3 linked regions of the Caenorhabditis elegans genome follow. The protein of the gene in region 1 interacts with the protein of each later gene in a pairwise test. Each region holds a gene or a part of one and is shown on either strand. Other genes may lie near its edges. The genes, in order: atx-3, ubxn-5 and cdc-48.2.

Region 1 (6,588 bases):
AGTCGAATCACTGGAAGAAGGCAAAATCCATTCATTTCATCTGGAAAAGCTGTCTTTGCCCAGTTTTCATGCATCTCACACACTTTAGTGATATTCAGATCCACATGAAAAATGTTTCCGTGCATGATGCAAACCGTATCATTCAGGTAATCTGTGCTCGGAACAGCAATTTACCTACTTATTTTACCAATTTTCAGCTTCTCCAAATCTCTGCCAACTTCAAATCGCTTAACATCACAACATGTTGCGTACAGGATTTTCTTCTTGTCGTTAAAGTTCTCCAACCAAATTTCATCCAAAGAGTTTTTGGCAGTGGCTCTACCGACTTTGCCATCAACGGCAAGAAATTCCATGTCGAGTTTGATCTGAACAACATCAAGATCGAAAAGAAAATTCGCTAATTTTCCGGTTATATTATTATATTGTTGGTTATAAACTTGTTGAGTTATACATTTAGATTTAGATTCGAGAAAAAAGTAGCAAAAATATACAAAAATAGCAAGGTAAAAAATAAATTAAGTGGTAAAATGTTTCCCAGCATTTGGATGTGCCTCATTGTAGATCTGAATCCGAGAGTTCAACATTTCTCTGGCGGCTGCGATGATAGTCTCCTGCCGTTCGATAGCTTCATCCAGGTTCTCCTCTTCAATCGCATATTGTGAATATGGTTGTTCCATTTCCCATTGAACACCGAGACGCGTGAACTCGTTATTCACATCGACAGAGGCATCGCGGAACTGAAACAATTAAGGATTTAAGTTTTTTTTTTGAAAATTGGAAATTGGAATTTTTTTTTGAAAATTACTAAAATGAGCTCCAAATTTCAAATTTTTGAATGAGAATCCTCCAAATTTCTCTAACATTTTGAATGGTAGACTCGAAAAGTAAATAGAAAATTCAAGTATTTTTATTTTTTATTTCAAAAATCAAAAATGGAAAAAAATGTTTAGAGAATTACCAATAAAACTTTGATAAATTGGTTTTTTTTAGGTAAAAAAGCTTCGAATTTTTCAGATTTTTTCCAGAATCCCACCACGTACATGTTTACTGCAGACTTCTGCGACTTCCTTAACATGATTAAGTGTTGATGGTGGTGGAACGGGCGCTTTAACCGATACATTCGTCAGCAGCTGACACCAATGCATCATAAGCGAATCGATTGCGTCGCCCAGATAAGTTGGCTCGATCGGCTCTTCGTCATCCTCGTTCGTTGAGCCGGCTCCATCATTTCTCATTCGTCTTTCGTCGTTTTCAATGGATCCATCAGCGGCTCCTTGTGGAACACTATTCGAGTATTCGTCGTCTGGAAGATCCGGAGCATCGCCGAGAATATCGTCAATGTCCTCACCGCCGCCGCCGAATTCTGGAACTATTAGATTTTGTAAAATATTTTTATTATTTCGGCTCAAGGGTGCCATCAAATAATTTTTTAAAGTTTTTTTTTTCAGAGAAAATCGGGAAAAAATGATCAGAAAATTAACAAAAAAATTCAATTTTTATCAAATTTTGTATTAAAATAGCTTAAGATATTGCCATTTTCTTCTTTTGAGTAAAAAAACTGGGAAATCCTACTCCTCGTGGAGCACTAGCTTAAGCTCGAATTCGAAAAATTTCTTGAATTTTCAAAAATCACCATTCATTGGCATTTCCTGTTCTTCTCCGCCGTCCTCTGCATCCAATTCCTCGAACATTTTCAATCTAAAAAAAATGATTATTTTTTCCAAAAACTCTAAAATTGAAGGTAGTAATACTCATGGAATGCCAGAATAACTTTGAAAAGGGCAACAAAATTCAGAAAAAAAGGAGATTTCATCTAATTCTAAATAATATATCACATAGTCTGAAAGCGGTTCATACATAAGCACCAAGTATTTGGGGATACAAGTATCGGGAGAAATGAATAATCGAATTATACAGGAAAAGCCGAGAATATATTCACATAATAGAATTCAAATAATAAATTTACGATTAAATCGTTATTTTTCATCGTTCCTCTCTTCTTTCTTCTTTTCGAATCGCTCCAAAAACTTTTGTCGATCTCTGCGCTGTTGTTCGGCATTTGAAAAAGGTTCTGAAGCTCCTGGCGGCGTCGAAGATCGAGAACGAGTCAATAGCGGTATCTCAGCCGGTTCTGATGGTCCTGGAGCCTGGCTCAGCTCAATCGCCTTTCTGAGATTTTCTTCATCGATTTCAGCGGAACTTCGAGACACTTCAGAGCCATCCTTTGTTTCCATAGACATTGCAAAAGCTATCGCCAAATCTTTTTCTTCTTGAGAATCCGGAGGAGCACCGCTTCCACCGCCAAGTCGTTTTCCGACGGTATTGAAGAATTTTGTCATGACTTTCTCCAGCTTCTGCTCCTTTTTCGGTGTAACTTTTGGCGGTACAACTGGGCATAGCGAGATGAGATCGTCTGCATCGGATCTTGGCAAAACTCCCTGCACCACGAAGATTGAATAACCTGAAAATTGATAAATTAAAATAATTTTCGATTTTTGGAACTTTTTTTCAGAAAAAAAAATCAACGCTACAGCTTGTAGTTTAGGGATAAATAAAAATCTGGCTCTAATTATCAAAATTTAGCTTCAAAATTCATGAATTTATACCTTCCGACGACACTTGATGCAAGAACATGCTAACATAAGTGTCAGAGAGCAATTTGGGCCCACGGTTCACCGAATTCAGCTCGAACCATTGATTTCCGAATTTTCGGAGCACAAACCAGTGCTCTCTGAGGTTGCATATGTAAGCACGGGCGGTTCTGAATTGGAAATTATGAAATTTTTTTGTAAATTATATGGTAACTCGTACAAGGGATTATTTTTATAGTCCACCATCGCAGGATTTTCGATATTTGTGAGCTTGAGGCTAAATGTTTCAAGTGCTTTCTCCAAAACTTGAATTGAAAAGTAGCCGCTTTCGTTCATGTTCTCACTTCGTCCCGGAGTTGGGTTTGCCTGAAAAATCAAGAATTTCAATTAAAATTTTTTCGTATTTTCCATTACATTTCCCAGAATTTGTTGTTCCATTTTATCCATCTGAATGGCCAAGTCTCGGAGATCTTGCCACTTGTACAGAGCATCTTGTAGGAGCATATTCAGCGCGTGTTGAGCACAAAGAGCAGCTTCCTGGTGCTCGAAGAAGATGGAGTTGATCGGATCGTCTTTTGACATTTTTTGGAGCTGGAAAAATTTGGATTAGGGAAACGAATGGAGAAAATAAATAAAACACCTCAAATTTTGGAGAAGAAAACTTGGAAATAGTTTTATTTTTTCGATTTCACAATAATATTCCTCATGCTGAATGCCAAAATCGATATTTTTTGTAAGACGGATAGGTTTAAAAAAAAAATTGAGATTTTATAGGAAAATTCGCGAAGAATTGTTAACAAGCTGTTATTTTTCGAAAAAAACAACACGACTTCTAATGTTTTCCATGGAACTCCAGCACAAAACTGCAAAACCATCGGATATATTGTTAGAATTTTTACAGGATAAACTTATTTTAATAAAATTACGTCAATTTATAACTTGTTTTTCAACAAAAATAACCAATTTCGTTTGACAACCTACGAAAAATGTGAAATTTGATGAAATCGAAAAAAAAACGAAATTAAAAAACCTCAACGATGCTCCGAAATAACGACACCGCGTGTTGTTTATTCTACGTTTTATTGACTTTATTCAAAAGGTTTTCGAGAATTTCAGCTTGAAATAAGAATTTCGGTATGTTTTGGAGCTGAAAAAAGTCAAAGTATTCTGCAGAATATTGTTCTGAAATTGAAAAAGTCATAAAAATCGTATCGTAAATATAATAAGGCTTAAACACAACCTCGAAAAAATATACGACATTTTACAATGAAATCGAGAGAAATTGGCTAGTTTTATGCAAAATTCACAGAAGAAAATCAATAAATAAGTTAATAAATATGTCACATGAAATTAGAATTAGTTCTGGTTTTTCGGCGACTTCAAGTCTCCGTTTTCGTCGATTAATTGCATCTTCAATGCGCGAAATCTCGTCCAATACGTGACGTCATACCATTCTTTGATGTCGAGAACTTTTTGAACGCCTTGTAGCTTCAACGTCCATTCCACGGGGCTCTGTAACGATTTTTGATATAATTTTTGGTAAAAAATTGAGAAATAATTTATACAACGTGTCATTTTTTGTAGAAAATCTTCAATTTTAAATTTTTATATTACTTTAAAAGGAATTTCGAAGCCATCTTTCCGTCTCCGCTGAGCAATCGCCATCTGTCTTGCTGATGTGATTATTCGAAGTTTTGCCAAATCTGTGAGCCTTTCCAGCGCTTTTTCGTCGATTTCTAAGCCAAATAAATATGGAAATGAATGAAAAATTCAATTTTCTACCTTCAAATCCTGCAAATAGTGTCATTAATCGGATGCCAGCCTGCAAATCATTTTCGAACTTCTCCTTCTCGACTCGGCACTGCAAATTGACTGAAAAATATGTAAAAAATAGAAAAAAACTGTTGAAAAATAAATTCTTACTCTCTTTCTGCATGGCTCATCAAATTCCTCGGCTTTTCGTTTCTCAATCTTCGGAATTTTGAAGCTTTTCACATTTTTGAAGTATTTTTTCACATTTTCTGTTTCTTCTAAACTCCAATCGTCTCTTCGAAGCACGTCTTCCACGTACATTGTGGCGCCGAGAAGGTAGCGGGCCATTTTTTTTAGCTGAAATAAGTCATTTAAAGCGTAAAGAAGGAAATCTGGGGCAAAACGAACAAGTTGACAAGAAAATTCATCTATTTCCATTAAAAAAAATTTCGCTGAAGAAATTTGCCGACGTCACTCCAATGTTGCGCCGGAGCCTTGTTTAGCGTAAATCTACACAAGCAAATTTTAGCGGTTAATTCGAATATTAAACCTGAAATCTCTCGATTTGGGTAAAGAAAACAATATTTTCAACTGAAAACTGAAGTATAAGTTGAGTTTTTGGATAATTCAACCAGCATTATGAAACGAGAAACAAGAATATCAACAGAATATCACTTTTGTAAGTGAGAACCGGGGGAATGTTTAAATTTAAAAAAGGGAAAGCAATTAAAAATGTCGAAATAACTTCGGGAATTGAGAAATGTGCAAAGTAAGAAAACAACAAAAATTTATAGTCAAAGTACAGGGATTTGGAATTAAAAAAAATAAGGGAAACATACAGTTACTTCAAAGGCGCAAGCGTCATTGCAATTCGATGGGTCTCGTAGCGAATGGTTTATTTTTGCATCATTATTTTTTGCTGAATTTCGAAAATATTTTTATTTTATTTATTTTTAAAATTTTTTCATAAAATCTTCGTCTTTTGATAACGTTTGCGCCTTCAAAGTAACTTTAAACCGAAAAAAATGCAATAGGATATGTGATTTATGGTCTTTGAACTCGTTCGAAATTTTTCGAATTTTTCACCGAAACAATCATCGTCTTGAGCTTTTCCGCTACTCCTGGGCAAACTTCAACGATCATGTGATGTCCATTTTGATAACCGCATTTTTGGAAAAGCGGGATAGAATATGGCTTCAGCTTTTCAGACGTTGACATTGCAGAAATACGCTTCTCCACAGCCAAATGACGATTGATATTGTCGTTGTGTCCGAGAATTTCGATCTCTTCCTTTGTGAGCTCAGATCTCTTCAATGCGTAGATCTTCTCAAACTCTTCCCGTGACAGTGAGCCCGACGATGTTCGCATCAGCGTATTCCAAGAAATAACCTTGTTGGCTTCTTCCTTGCTGAACACAGTGGCTTTCGATGGACGGGTGTTTCCAGTAATTCCTTGATAAGTAGAGCAGATCAGACAGAGCTTAGTATCGTCGGGAATTGGATCGTAATACTTCAACGCTTTGTTGCAATTCTGACAAGCCCATCGAGGTTGAAACTCCAAGTCCTCACAGAGCGGCTCGTTGCAGTGGCAGGATTTGCTGGTTTTTTCCATGATGTGATGTTGGAATGCGTGGCAGAAGTGATGGATCTCGTCGAGGTTGTAGTTGGGCATCTGGAAGCATTTTATTTGAGAAAATTCAGACTATCCTCACAAAAATCGAAAATTTTTTGAAAAATAACGTTTAATTTTTGGTCATTTTCTTTTTATTTTAAAAAGAAAATTTTTATGTTTTCCTATGTTTTCGCTTATGAACTAAACAAAATATTATGAAAATTAATCTTTATTGTTAATTTTCTTTAAAAATTTTTTTTTTCGACTTTTCGAGTTTCCGGAAAATCACATTTTCCGGCAAAAATCTCGAAAATATATGGCTTAAAATTGAATTTTTCTTTAATTTTCTCTCTCTATTAGCTTCAACTTACACAATTCTTCTGAATTTCTCGCAAAATTGGCCCTTTTTTCATCTTCTTGAGAGCATCTTTGAACCGCTCAATTTGCACAACACGAAGTGGCTGGAAAGCACGTGGAAGATCTGGAAGTACTTGATCAATGGAATCAAGGCTCTTCTCAATTGAATAGTCGTTGATCATCAACCATTGAAGTGCAACCTCCATCGGAATATGATTTTCGAATTGGCGCCAAATTGCTCTCCAGTACGCGTTTTTGAGCAGGTCGTAGTCCAAGT
Region 2 (5,256 bases), on another chromosome or scaffold:
AGAAATTTTCCATCGATTTTTTGTATTTTTCGTTAAAACATACTCATTAATTCAAAAAAAAACTAAAATTAAAAATTAAAACGCACATTTAAATTTTAACAAATTGTGAGAAAATCTATGAAAATTCCACAGAAAAAAGTTGAAACTACAGTACTCTTTAAAGGCGCACACCTTTTCTAATTTAACAAAATATTATGTGCCGAGACCGGTTACCGTATTTTTGAGTAAAAAATTGCTACATTTAGATGCTGGGTGATTTAAAAAAGCATTTAAAAAGTTTTTTGAATCAAATTTTAAAAAAAATAATATGAAATTGAATTACAGGAATATTCTCCAACAGCATATAAATCATGTCTATCGCTTCAATGTAATCAACTTCTAACATCAACATCCGATGGAAAAGTCAAGTTGTATGATGCAAATAATTTCAACGTTTTGCAGACATATTCGGTAGGGAATATAGAATATTATTCAGTTAATATAAATAATTTCTAGGTCGGTTCCTATACCCGTCAATCATTTTTGGAGCACGGAGCACACTTGATTATGGCGCGAAGTTTGAAGCGTAATTACACATTCAGTGTGAGTAGAAACCATTTTAAGAAATTTCATAGGTCCCCCTATTTTCCTGAGAATTCGTTTTTTTTTTGCAAAATATGCAAAAATTCAGTGTTCCACTCTTTCCGTTTGTCTCTCTTTTTCGAGCACAAAAAATGAAAAAAAAAGCAAAGATGGATGTATATATTCGGAATTCGATTTGTCACAAGGCATTTTTTTGGTTTTTGGTTGCTTTTTTAGCACATTCTTGGACTCGGAAGAAAAAAAACCACATATCTAAAATTTTGAACGAACGAAAAACAGTGAAAATATGCATTAATTAGAATTTCAACCCGATTAAATTTCCAGATCTACAGCCCAGGAACACGTAGTCAGCAGTGGTGTGCTTCACATGAATTGGCCGCGGAGCCAGCCAAATTTGATTATTCGTAAGTTTAGTTGTTAGCACACAAAATTAATTGAAAAAATTTAAAAAAAACTTCTAAAAATGATAATTTGTAAAATTTTCATATTTTTCAGAAAATTTTAAATTTTCCAATTCTTCAAAATTTTGTAGGTTTAAGCTCTTAAAATTGCCAGATATTTTGGAATATTTTTAAAAAATTTGGATTTTCGAATTTTTAGAAAATTGGAAAATTCTTTATTTTTCGGCATTCCAAATTTTCAGAAAATTTTTTGCTTTTGGAATTTCCAACAAAATATAATTTTACGGCTTTCCAAATTTTCTAAAACTTTGAAATTTTTTGAATTCTTCAATTTTTATTTGTATTTTTCGGTTTTTCAAATATGCAAAAAAAACCGGTATTTCTGAAAAATTGAAATTATGCCAGATTTTTTTTTTGAAATTGACTAAAAATTTTATTTTTTCAGCCCATCATCGAGAACTCTGGCAATTGGCAATGGTGATAGCTCAATTCTGTTCTGTCTTCCAGCATCGGCTCCGGATCAAGAAAACTGAATATCTTCTCAATTTCTGAACATTTCCTTTGTGTATATACCAAATATCATTGCCATTTGATATGATCTCTTCTGAATCGATATCATTTAACTTCATATTTTATAGATTTGCATAATTATGAAATGTTTTGGCCCCTTTCCATGCTTCTTCCTGTTTAACCCCGTTTGGTGCACAGTTTAGCGCTCGCCCGCAAGAAAAACAATGGTGGAGCTCACCTGGAGCATCGTGTTATTTGTCTTTTGGCAAATACACAAAACAGTCTTCTCTCTTTCTCGGCTCGTGCTGCGTGGCTCATTTGCGTATATACTCTAAGGAGTTATGCATGGAACGTTTGGAACGTTTGAAGAAGAGAGCTCAATGTCTATGTCCCCCGTGTGCTCTCCGGAGACAAAGGGTTAGGCGGAGAGCAGCAATATGAGCATTTTGACAAGTACTCAAATATTTCTCCATTGTTTAGTTTCGAGATAATATGGTTAAAATCACAAAAGTTTCATGTTTACCGGAAAGATTTTCATAGTTAAAGTGTGCCATGCGGAGCCGGAAATCTAGAGAATTTCGTCGAAAATTTGAAATTCTTGGCAATAAAGTTATTATGGATCTTTTGAAATCGAGGCGCAAGGGCGCTCTATGGCACTCTCCGCCCCTAGACGTTGGGTCTCGTTAGGAATAGAATCCGGAAATTCGAATTTTAAATGTTTTTGTTGTTTTTAATGATTTTATGTCGAATTTTATGAATTTATATAATTTCGACATAAAAACAACGATAAATAATTAATTTCTCAGTGGAGCACATTTGCATTTCGACTTCAAAAATCGCATTTTTTTGCGTCCCTATAATAACCCCCTACTTAATATTTTTACCAACAAGATGTTTTGGTACACAAAAAGTGCATTTCGAGAACTAAATAATTGCTCCGAGAGCCGCGTTTCCCCTATTCACACTAACTCATTTTATCCAGTTTTGCATGTAAAAATCTTTTTATGCACAAAAAAACAACACGGGAGAGACGGAGAGCAAGATTTTCCTCTTTTTTCAAGAAAACTGAGCAATAAAGACATGAAAAGGCAAGGATTTATTTCAAAAATAGTTATTATTATACGTTCCAGAAAAAATTACGAACGTATAATAATTCGTAAAAGAATTAAAATAAAATACAAAAGACAATGTGTGAAACCGGGGAATTTAGGAAGGAAATAATGGGAAACGATGCCTACCTTGAAGGACAATCAATTGTACCGGAAAAAGACCAAAATGCATTATGAAAATGGAAAAAATGCAAGTGCGCTCTATTGATGTGTCAATAGTAGAGCGTACATGCATCAGATACTAAATTCAAAAACTAGAAAGGATTAGGAGATTTTCGAGAGTGAGAGAGATTCTAGACAAGGTTAACTGGAACTATAAAAGGAAAATGTAAAGACAATTATGTTCAAACAGAAGCAGTGGAAGATCGATTTGGGTTTTACACTTTTTGACAGTGTATCTTTTTTTGAATTAAACAGAGAAAATTTGTTACAGAGAAAGAGAAATAAAAAATCAGATTCTCACCCAAAATTTTCAAATTTAATTCAAGCGATGTGCTCTTCCCTTATGGAATGTTCCATCAGCATACGATCCAAGACTTTTTTCTTCTTTTCCAGCACATACTTTATCACAATCAACGACTCCGTAGAGAGTGAGATGTCCAATTGGTTTTGTGCTCATTTCACGTTTTGGGGTTGAAGCCTGACGTTTCAGCTTCTTCTGACGCTCGTGAAAGGCTTTTCCGTACTTTCTGGGGCGCTTCTCGAGGACAAAGTAGAAGGACCAGCTGGAAAATTTAAATAATTATTAAATTTGGTAATGTGTATTTATAAATGTTTTTGAAAAAAACTTTCCCCATTCCATTGAAATTTTTTGCAGAAAACCCCTATTTTTAAAGGTGGTGTAGCCATAATGGAGATTAAGCTTTAAAATTTTTTTTAATTGGTGTGAAACTCAGAAAACCCACAAAAAACATCGATAGAAAAAGAAGAAGAATTCTCCTTTTAAAAACTATATTTTCCAATTTTGGTTTATTTCTTTTTTTTTTTGGAATTCGCTCCAAAATGAGAATTTCTAGATTTTTACGAAACGGATCCCATTGGAAATCACAAATTTCGGAATAAAGATTAACCATTTTTTTGGTAAAAGTTCAATTCTTAAATATCTATCAAAAGTTGATAATTACATACTACTGACATAATTATTTTCCAACGCACACACACTTTCACTCACTCTGCCACTTTATGCGACCACGGACGAAGATACGTGCATCCTTCTTTATCATCCGGGAACCAAAACTTGTCTAATGTACAGAAGCCGCCTTCTCCCAGAATACATGTGTATGAGTGAAGCCTGAAAATTATAGTTTTTGAATTGTTATTAGAAATTGGAAATTGGAAAGTATTTGAATTTTTTGAACTGTTAGAAAGTACTCTTAAAAATATATTAGTTTTAAAAAATCCTGAAAAGAAAACGTGTGAATTCAAAAATAAATAAAATTTAGACTTTGCAACGTCAAATTCTGATAGCAAATTTTCAACAAAAAAATCATTACCACATTTTCACTAACTACCACTAGACGATGCCAACTAACAATCACGTACAAAAGGAGAAGTTTGCGGAGGATCGTGCTCTGTTGAGCCAACAGGTTAGATTCGGATTATGACAGTGATAAGTTAGAATTTCAGAACAAAGAATATGCGGAGAGTCTTGCCAAGGATATTGCAAAGAAAGAAGAAAAGGATAAAATTAGATTTGAAGCTGAACAGAAGGAGCTGAGGAAGAAAACCATTCAGGATTACAGAGAGAAGTTGAAAGGTAATTTAGAACCCATAGTTGCAAATAATGCAAGCTGGCCTATTCCAGGAACTGTATCACAAGGACCCCTCCGTCTTCTAGTACGATACCCCAATGGTTCTCGATTAATTCTGAGCTTCTCCCCATCACAACCGATGACTTCACTTTTTGATGCTATTATTTTGAATCCGGCGTGCCCTGACTATTTCTCGGTTCGAAGTGTCTATCCTCGTGCGGAGATTCATTGCTATCCAGCATGGTATCACACGATTTTCAATGCAGAATTCAAGGATGAAACAGAAAAAGGAGCAAATAATGTGGCGAAGGAGACGAATGAAGTAAAATGTCTAGAAACTATTCCGAATAACTCAATCCTCTACGTGAATTTGATTCAATGAAGTCAAACTCATCTTGACTATAATGCAGGGTATTTCATGTAGGCGCCAAGATGCCTAGCTGACCTTAAGGAGACCTTCACCTGCCTCGCGCCTTTAATGCCTTTGGGTGACGTGAGGCAGGTAGGTTCCAGGTAGGCTCTCACGCCGCGCCTGCCCATCACGGAAGACCTTCACTTAATGTATGCCTGATACATATAGAAATTCAAAAATAGCCAGACTTCAACCAAACTTTGGCAAGTTGTGGGCGAGAATTTTAAAAAAGTTCTCCATATCGATCAATAATTAAAATTTATTAAACTTGGCCAAGCTCTTGGGTTGAAGTTCATTGAAAATTTGCTAAAAGTTGGTTCAAAGTGTGGTGAGATGATTTGCATTAGAGAATGAAGGAAGTTTGGTAAGCCGTGAGCTAACTTGGGTGAGAAATTGGCAAATTGGCAAAACTTGGTAAGAAATTCCAAAGGGGAAATCTTGACGTAGAATCCAAGCTGAACTTCGAATAGATACTGGTAATCTTTCTCTGT
Region 3 (7,554 bases), on another chromosome or scaffold:
GCATCACGAGCAATATTGTCTGGATTGGGATTGTCAACACCATGATATTCATTGTGTGGAACCTTCAAAAAGTTATATTATTTAAAATATCAGAATTCAATTAATTTTTAAAGATTTAGTAATCTAACATAAAGTTGTTGGTAAGTAATTATTTTTTGAATTAAAACATATAGAAACATTCAAGGAACCTGATCATAACTATTAAAAACGACTCGTTTCCTGATTTTTCTTTGGTTCCTGAAATTTTTTGTTCTATTCATAATTTTTTAAAATAATTAAAGGGATAAAAACTAATTGACTCACTTCTGCATTTGGATACAATACATAATGTTGAACCATGAAAATGATGTCAAAGAATATTGAGACAAATCCCAGTCCGAATTTGACGGGATTCGCATAAAATGCAGACCAATCGTTCACATTAACTGCTTGAAGAATCATTTGAAGAATATCGAGAGTTCCTCCTGTGAAATCTAGCATGATGTTTCCGATTGACCATCCAACTGTACTTTTTCGGGTATAGTTGAAGTAAGCCTGAAATTATTTACAATTTATTTTAGATCACTTGTATTTTTTAAAATTAATTTTCAATAGTTAAATATTTTTTGATAATTTCTCTACGATTGGATAAAAATATTTTCGATTGAATAAAATTATAATTTAAATTAACATGTTTTCGATAAAACATCATTTTCCCAGCTTTTTTTCGTGAATTTTTGATGACGATACAGTACTTTTTAAGGCGCACAACTTTTTGAGTTAAACAAAATCTGTCGTATCGAGACCGGATACCGTAGTTTTGGCGCAAAATTTCGCGGTCAAGTTTTGAAAACTTTTTTGGAAAAACTAGTAATTTAAAAATAATAAAAAATAATTTCAGGCTAGAATACTGTTTACAAATGGACAATATGAAACAAACCTGTGGGAAATATTTACAGCAGGTTACAGCCATTTTTATGTACGACAAACTGGTCACAAACGAGAGCAATTGAATTTTCCTGAGAACCGTGGCGGCAGCGGAGCAGAATCCAAAAGAGATCAGCACAATCATAAGGGCGATACATTTTGAAGAAACACTCTGATTATCACGTTCATAGAATAAACATTGAAGAATTGTGATAAAGCAGGCAAGAAATGCGTGAACAGCGAACACAACATCGTTCAAAAGTACTGGTGGCGGTGACCGAGGATTCACAATATTGTATTCATTCTGAAAGAAGATGAATTAATTTTAGTTATTTATTTTCTAGTTCTCACCTTTACATGACTATTATAATACATTAACAGATTGAAAATAGCATATGCACAAAATCCGACAAGGTTCAGAGATAAGAAATCGAAGTTTAGCCCGACGACGCTTTTTCTTTTGAAATTCAGATACATTTGGGGATAAAACGAAATACTCCATGCGAAGAAGTATGTCCATCCAACAATTTGAATCAAAATGGCAAGAAAGTGAGAGCGAATAACTGTGATTCTAGCAAACGCATCTTCAAGACTGGAAATGAGTTTTGATTTAATTTTTACAATATATAATCATCGACTCACTCCAGAGGACAAGTAATTGACCCATCTGTAGTACAATTGAGAGCTTCTAAAATAGCTCCGGACACCAATTGGCTTCCTAAAACTGTCACATTAGCATTCCAATTGTCAACGAGAATAGCATCAGGATGGGAGATGTATGGTGACTGCGAGAGGGAGATACGTGTTGCGTTCAATGATTGTGATGTGTGGTTTCTGAAAATTATATTGATTGAATACAGCACATGTTCGTATGATTGTTTTTATTTTATAACCTGTTGGATGAAAAATATTATTAATAACTCACTTGATCTGGAAATTAACAGAGACTTCTCCTCCAATTACAATTTCCAATTCTTTCTGTCTAACAACTAAATTATTTGTCGCAAATGTGAATGGAACCAAGAAGAGAACGAGCAAAAATGCCACCGGGAAACTCATTATATCATTCTGGAAACAATTATACTTCAAAAAATGGAAGCAAAATATAAAACAGGAGTTGTGAATAGAGAAAACGACGCTTTATATCATCAGTTTTGGCATTGAAATGAATCAATAACATAAATTGAGCGAGAAAAAGAGAAACAGCAAAATAGTGAAAAACGAATGATTGACCGAGAGAACGGGGGAAGGTTGGAATTTTTGTAAACAAACGAGGGAAACATCATGTTGAAAACATATATATACACATTTTTTATTTAATGCGTCGGAATATTCAGAAAATCGTTCAGATCATCGATAATTTTTATTGATAAAAGACCAAAAATCCAGTTTACATGAGGAAAACAATACACTGTGAATTTTAAAGAAAATTAAATATTCCAAAAAAATTTAATTTAATTTGTAATTTGGGAAACTGAAACAATAAAACACTATCGAAAACTTAAAAAAAAACATGGATTGAAGCTCAAAAAAACTGTTTTAATGTTTCGTTTTGTAGAACTTTAGATTTTTGTAAAGCGGGAGACACCACGAATCCGCAAGAAGTTTCTTCCAGAAGCAGATTCGCTGAAAAAAAATGAAGTTGTCTTAAACCTGATGCTTTTTTTTGATAATTTTTATACATTATGTGGTTTCCTGGTTGGCCATTTTGTTAAAATCATTATTTCCTGTAATAAAAGTCAGGCGTTCTCAGTTATTTCCAGATATCGGATTCCTAAAATAGCTGAACTCCAAAAAACGGTCAAGTCTCTGAACACCAAACGCGCTCCTTCGAACAAAAAAAGCAGCGCGTACGTTTAACGAACAGTTTTTTCTTCTAGAAATTGTTTTCTCATTGCGCAATGCATTGCTCATTATAAATAATTATGTTTTAAACAGTTGCTGGGAGGTTTTCGCTATCTCAGTCGTTGTTAAACAATTACCAGAGTGTGTTATCGTATTTATCTTTGCCGTATAATATCTTTTCCATATTTATGCGATTGCGGAAATTTACCACTGACTCTGCGGAAACTGCGGAAATTTACCACTGAAATATCACTCATATCGTACGTTTCTTTGAATTCGTCTCCTTGTTATTCAAATTATGTCTTCGTTTTTGAACGAGATATTTACCTCTAGCTTTCTAGATCGTCACATCACTTAGGTTCGCCTTGAACTTCTGTTCCGCTAAAGACGGCTGGTTCACATATATTTTTAACAATGTAATTATTACTTATGACCCGAATAAAACGGTAGAACGCTTTGTGAAATTATTCGAAAGCAAATGCGCCCCAAGGAGAGAGTGTGAATGAGAGGCTGCGTTTTGTCATCATGTAGAGGCAGCATTGGGGTGTTCTGTAGAGAACTTAGTCTACGTGTCTCATCTTCCATATTTCTTAATTTTGTTCTATTGGCTCTTTTTGCATCTCTTCTTTGATTCGATTCTTTAACTGAATTAGATCAGAAATTATACTTGAAGTTTTATCTTGAAAACCTACTGTAGAAAAGTTTGTCCGTGTTCTACTTTCTTATTAGACTTTCGCGTTTCGGCCTTTCCTATGTTCTACCCCCATCTTCCGTTCTTTTTTATTATTCCAAGATTTTACAGAGAAGTCGTTTAACCATGGCCTCAGTTCCGACTCAGAGAGACGAGAAGGAAAAGAAGAATGATGAGCTGGCTACGGCTATCTTGAAAGTAGGTTTTTCTCCAAGGTAATCATTTCAATATAATTAACTCTTTCAGGACAAAAAACGCCCAAACAGACTCATTATCGATCAGTCTGACAATGACGACAACTCCATGGTCATGCTCTCACAGGCCAAAATGGACGAGCTGGGACTCTTCCGTGGAGATTCGGTGATTTTGAAAGGAAAGAAACGAAGAGAGACTGTCTCTATCGTTCTTAATGCGGACAATTGCCCGAATGACAAGATCAAGATGAACAAAGTGGTTCGAAACAACCTCAGAAGCCGTCTTGGAGACGTTGTCAGTATCTCAAGTGCTCAACTCGAATATGGAAAAAGGGTTCATGTTCTTCCAATTGATGACACAATCGAGGGATTGACTGGGTATGTTCTTGCCACGGAGAAATAAAGACTGTATTTTTTATTTTAGAAATCTATTTGATGTCTTCCTTCGGCCATACTTTACCGACGCCTACCGCCCAGTGCACAAGGGAGACATATTCACTGTTCAAGCTGCAATGAGAACTGTCGAGTTCAAAGTTGTCGAGACGGATCCTGCTCCGGCGTGTATTGTTGCTCCAGATACTGTTATTCACTATGAAGGAGATCCAATTAAAAGAGAGGAAGAAGAGGAGGCTCTCAATGAAGTTGGATACGATGATCTCGGAGGTGTTCGTAAACAACTCGCTCAGATCAAGGAAATGGTTGAGCTCCCACTTCGCCATCCCCAACTTTTCAAGGCTATCGGAGTGAAACCACCACGTGGAATTCTTCTGTTCGGTCCACCAGGAACCGGTAAGACACTGATCGCAAGAGCTGTCGCCAACGAAACAGGAGCATTCTTCTTCCTCATTAACGGACCGGAAATTATGTCTAAAATGTCTGGAGAGTCGGAATCGAATCTTCGTAAAGCATTTGCCGAGTGTGAGAAGAACTCACCTGCTATTTTGTTCATTGACGAGATCGATGCGATTGCTCCAAAGAGAGAAAAGGCTCACGGTGAAGTCGAGAAGCGTATCGTCTCGCAACTTCTCACACTTATGGATGGACTTAAAACTCGCGCTCATGTTGTCGTGATCGCCGCTACTAATCGTCCTAACTCTATTGATGGAGCCCTTCGTCGTTTCGGTCGCTTTGATCGTGAAATTGACATTGGAATCCCTGATGCTGTTGGCCGTCTGGAAATTCTCAGAATTCATACCAAGAACATGAAATTAGGAGAAGACGTTGATTTGGAACAAGTTGCAAACGAATGCCACGGATTTGTCGGAGCTGATTTGGCTTCCCTCTGCTCTGAGGCTGCTATTCAGCAAATTCGCGAAAAGATGGAGCTGATTGATTTGGAGGATGATACAATTGATGCTGAAGTTCTCAATTCTTTGGCGGTCACTATGGAGAACTTTAGAGTAAGTTATCATTTTTTTGCACTTAAGAGACGTATCATTAATCATTTTTCAGTTCGCAATGGGAAAATCATCCCCATCTGCTCTTCGCGAAGCCGTTGTGGAAACTCCAAATACTACTTGGTCCGACATCGGAGGTCTTCAAAACGTCAAGCGCGAACTTCAGGAGCTCGTTCAATACCCTGTAGAGCATCCAGAAAAGTATCTCAAGTTCGGAATGCAACCATCTCGTGGAGTTTTGTTCTACGGTCCACCAGGATGCGGTAAAACACTTCTCGCTAAAGCGATTGCCAATGAATGCCAGGCTAACTTCATTTCCATCAAGGGACCCGAGCTTCTTACTATGTGGTTCGGAGAATCCGAAGCTAATGTTCGCGACGTGTTTGATAAAGCTCGTGCTGCCGCTCCATGCGTTCTCTTCTTTGACGAACTCGATTCGATCGCAAAGGCCAGAGGAGGAAGTGTAGGAGATGCTGGAGGTGCTGCCGATCGTGTTATCAACCAGGTTCTCACTGAAATGGATGGTATGAATGCCAAGAAAAACGTGTTCATTATTGGAGCTACCAATCGTCCTGATATCATTGATCCAGCTGTTCTTCGTCCAGGACGTCTCGATCAGTTGATCTACATTCCTCTTCCTGACGAAGCATCTAGACTTCAAATTTTCAAGGCCTCACTCCGCAAAACGCCCCTTTCCGCCGATCTCGATTTGAACTTCCTTGCCAAGAACACCGTCGGTTTTTCGGGAGCCGACTTAACCGAAATTTGCCAAAGGTTTGTTATAAAAATTAGTTAAAAAAATATTCGCATTTGTCAATTAATACCATTTTCAGAGCATGCAAGCTTGCCATTCGTGAATCAATTGAACGGGAAATTCGTCAGGAAAAGGAGCGTCAGGACAGAAGTGCTCGTGGAGAAGAACTTATGGAGGATGAACTGGCTGACCCAGTTCCAGAAATAACTAGAGCACACTTCGAGGAGGCAATGAAGTTCGCTAGACGTTCCGTGACTGATAACGATATCAGAAAATACGAGATGTTCGCCCAGACTCTTCAACAATCTCGTGGATTTGGAAACAACTTCAAGTTCCCAGGAGAAGCTCCTTCTGCTGGACAACCTGTTGGAGGAAACGGTGGCTCCGGTGGAAATGACGATGATGACCTGTACAACTAGATTTCGCTAAAATTGTTTTATTCTATTTATTGTAAATGCATCCTTGCGAGGGTATCAAATGTTCTCATGAATGTTAAATTTATTTCCAACTTTTACAAGTAAAAAAATCGTAACCGTAAAAAGTATTTGTTAAAATCTTATGCTTTAACAGAGATAGCAGGAGGGACCGGGGAGGATTCGGGTGAAATGAGATCAGTGATGGCTTTATGGATAACCTTGAACCACTGTTCACGGCATTCGTCCCAGATCAGTTCAAGCTCTGTTTCATCAGAATTGTTTGCTAAAATAGTGATTTCTCCATCAAACATTTCAATGCCGTCGTCTTTTAGTTGCAAGTGTGGATCATAGAGTAGAAGCTCGTTTGATAATTCCTTCCAATTCACTTTTTTGCCTTTGATGATTTCTGACAATGAGAGAGTGATCGGCATGCAGTTTTTATCTTTTATCAAATCTTCTGATTCTGCTGTAGACATGATATTCAGTCGTTCATTCTAAAATTATTTGAAGTTATTGCAAAATAAAGTTCAATAATCTTACTTCTTGATCGTAAACGAGCTCGGCGACAAATGGGCATTCCGATTTGGCAGGATTCGGATCGAGGCTTAGGCTTCTGTCAATTTTCTGGAATTTTTTATTTGAGTTCAATTTGTTTTAGAAACACACAAACCTCAAGTGGAACTCGTATATCAAGCTTCGGTTGAGCAGAAATCACTACAGTCTCTCCGTTTGCTGGCATGTGAACAGGTACTTTGTACTCCTTTTCCACTTTTCCTTTCAAGAACTCCATCTTTGAAGCTTCGCCGTGCACAAACATGACGTGTTGAGGCTCACATTGACGGATAAGCTGCATAATTCCTTTAGCATCAGCATGAGCACTAAACGACATGTATTCCACACCAAGTCGAATTTCGTGCATCTTTTGATCAATTTCAATTTTCTTTTCGCCATTAATAACTCTTGCTCCAACTGTTCCAGCGACACAGTAACCAGGCATAATGATCATGTTCAGAGGATCTGAGCACCATTTTTTGAAAACTTTGAGCGATTGACCTCCGTGAAGCATTCCAGGAGTAGAAAAGAGAACCTGAGGTCCTGGTTGATCTTCACATCCCTTTTCCATTGGTTTGATATGCTTGAATTCGAACATATTTCTTTCTACGAAAGTTTTCTTAATGTTCTCGTTGGTCCAGCTGATGAAAAGTCGGTAATACTGATTTGCCCGTTCTGCAAGACCTTGGGAAAAATAGATTGGTACGTTGAGAGCCATTCTCTCCCAATATGATTCAAGCAGGATACACAGCTCCTGCGCTCGTCCCAAGGCAAAGACTGGAATAATTACTTTTCCTCC

Evidence for each region.
Region 2: the proteins of atx-3 (region 1) and ubxn-5 interact in a two-hybrid assay, tested with the Caenorhabditis elegans proteins (one study listed by BioGRID).
Region 3: the proteins of atx-3 (region 1) and cdc-48.2 interact in binary tests that used the Caenorhabditis elegans proteins (3 or more experiments, as listed by UniProt).

Annotation. Positions count from the first base shown.
Region 1 is NC_003283.11:15,573,706-15,580,293, forward strand, and holds atx-3 (Ataxin-3 homolog), read right to left. Parts: upstream 3,739-6,588; 5' UTR 3,622-3,738; intron 3,183-3,621; 5' UTR 3,174-3,182; coding exon 3,006-3,173; intron 2,958-3,005; coding exon 2,812-2,957; intron 2,762-2,811; coding exon 2,607-2,761; intron 2,462-2,606; coding exon 1,977-2,461; 3' UTR 1,793-1,976; downstream 1-1,792. Other genes in the region: fbxa-94 (F-box domain-containing protein), read left to right, coding at 1-146, 198-401; Coiled-coil domain-containing protein mdt-28, read right to left, coding at 516-737, 1,041-1,369, 1,634-1,691; F28F8.9 (uncharacterized protein), read right to left, coding at 3,948-4,103, 4,206-4,327, 4,374-4,452, 4,515-4,700, 4,752-4,781; F28F8.7 (ELM2 domain-containing protein), read right to left, coding at 5,388-6,014, 6,326-6,588. UniProt on the Caenorhabditis elegans protein: Acts as a chain editing deubiquitinating enzyme that binds and cleaves 'Lys-48'-linked polyubiquitin chains, with a preference for chains containing four or more ubiquitin molecules thereby modulating protein degradation by the ubiquitin-proteasome pathway.
Region 2 is NC_003280.10:10,233,333-10,238,588, reverse strand, and holds ubxn-5 (UBX domain-containing protein 5), read left to right. Parts: upstream 1-4,090; 5' UTR 4,091-4,122; coding exon 4,123-4,188; intron 4,189-4,228; coding exon 4,229-4,358; intron 4,359-4,406; coding exon 4,407-4,735; 3' UTR 4,736-4,756; downstream 4,757-5,256. Other genes in the region: F-box/WD repeat-containing protein mec-15, read left to right, coding at 325-450, 496-582, 907-986, 1,429-1,516; pugs-6 (BPTI/Kunitz inhibitor domain-containing protein), read right to left, coding at 3,081-3,327, 3,774-3,893. UniProt on the Caenorhabditis elegans protein: Probably acts as an adapter for ATPase cdc-48.1 and/or cdc-48.2, conferring substrate specificity. Unlike other UBX domain-containing protein does not bind 'Lys-48'-polyubiquitinated chain.
Region 3 is NC_003280.10:8,134,943-8,142,496, forward strand, and holds cdc-48.2 (Transitional endoplasmic reticulum ATPase homolog 2), read left to right. Parts: upstream 1-3,553; 5' UTR 3,554-3,568; coding exon 3,569-3,640; intron 3,641-3,688; coding exon 3,689-4,014; intron 4,015-4,060; coding exon 4,061-5,036; intron 5,037-5,088; coding exon 5,089-5,807; intron 5,808-5,866; coding exon 5,867-6,206; 3' UTR 6,207-6,288; downstream 6,289-7,554. Other genes in the region: ctns-1 (Cystinosin homolog), read right to left, coding at 1-62, 304-534, 920-1,210, 1,258-1,498, 1,549-1,740, 1,832-1,965; ints-11 (Integrator complex subunit 11), read right to left, coding at 6,344-6,697, 6,744-6,827, 6,874-7,554. UniProt on the Caenorhabditis elegans protein: ATP-dependent chaperone which probably uses the energy provided by ATP hydrolysis to generate mechanical force to unfold substrate proteins, disassemble protein complexes, and disaggregate protein aggregates.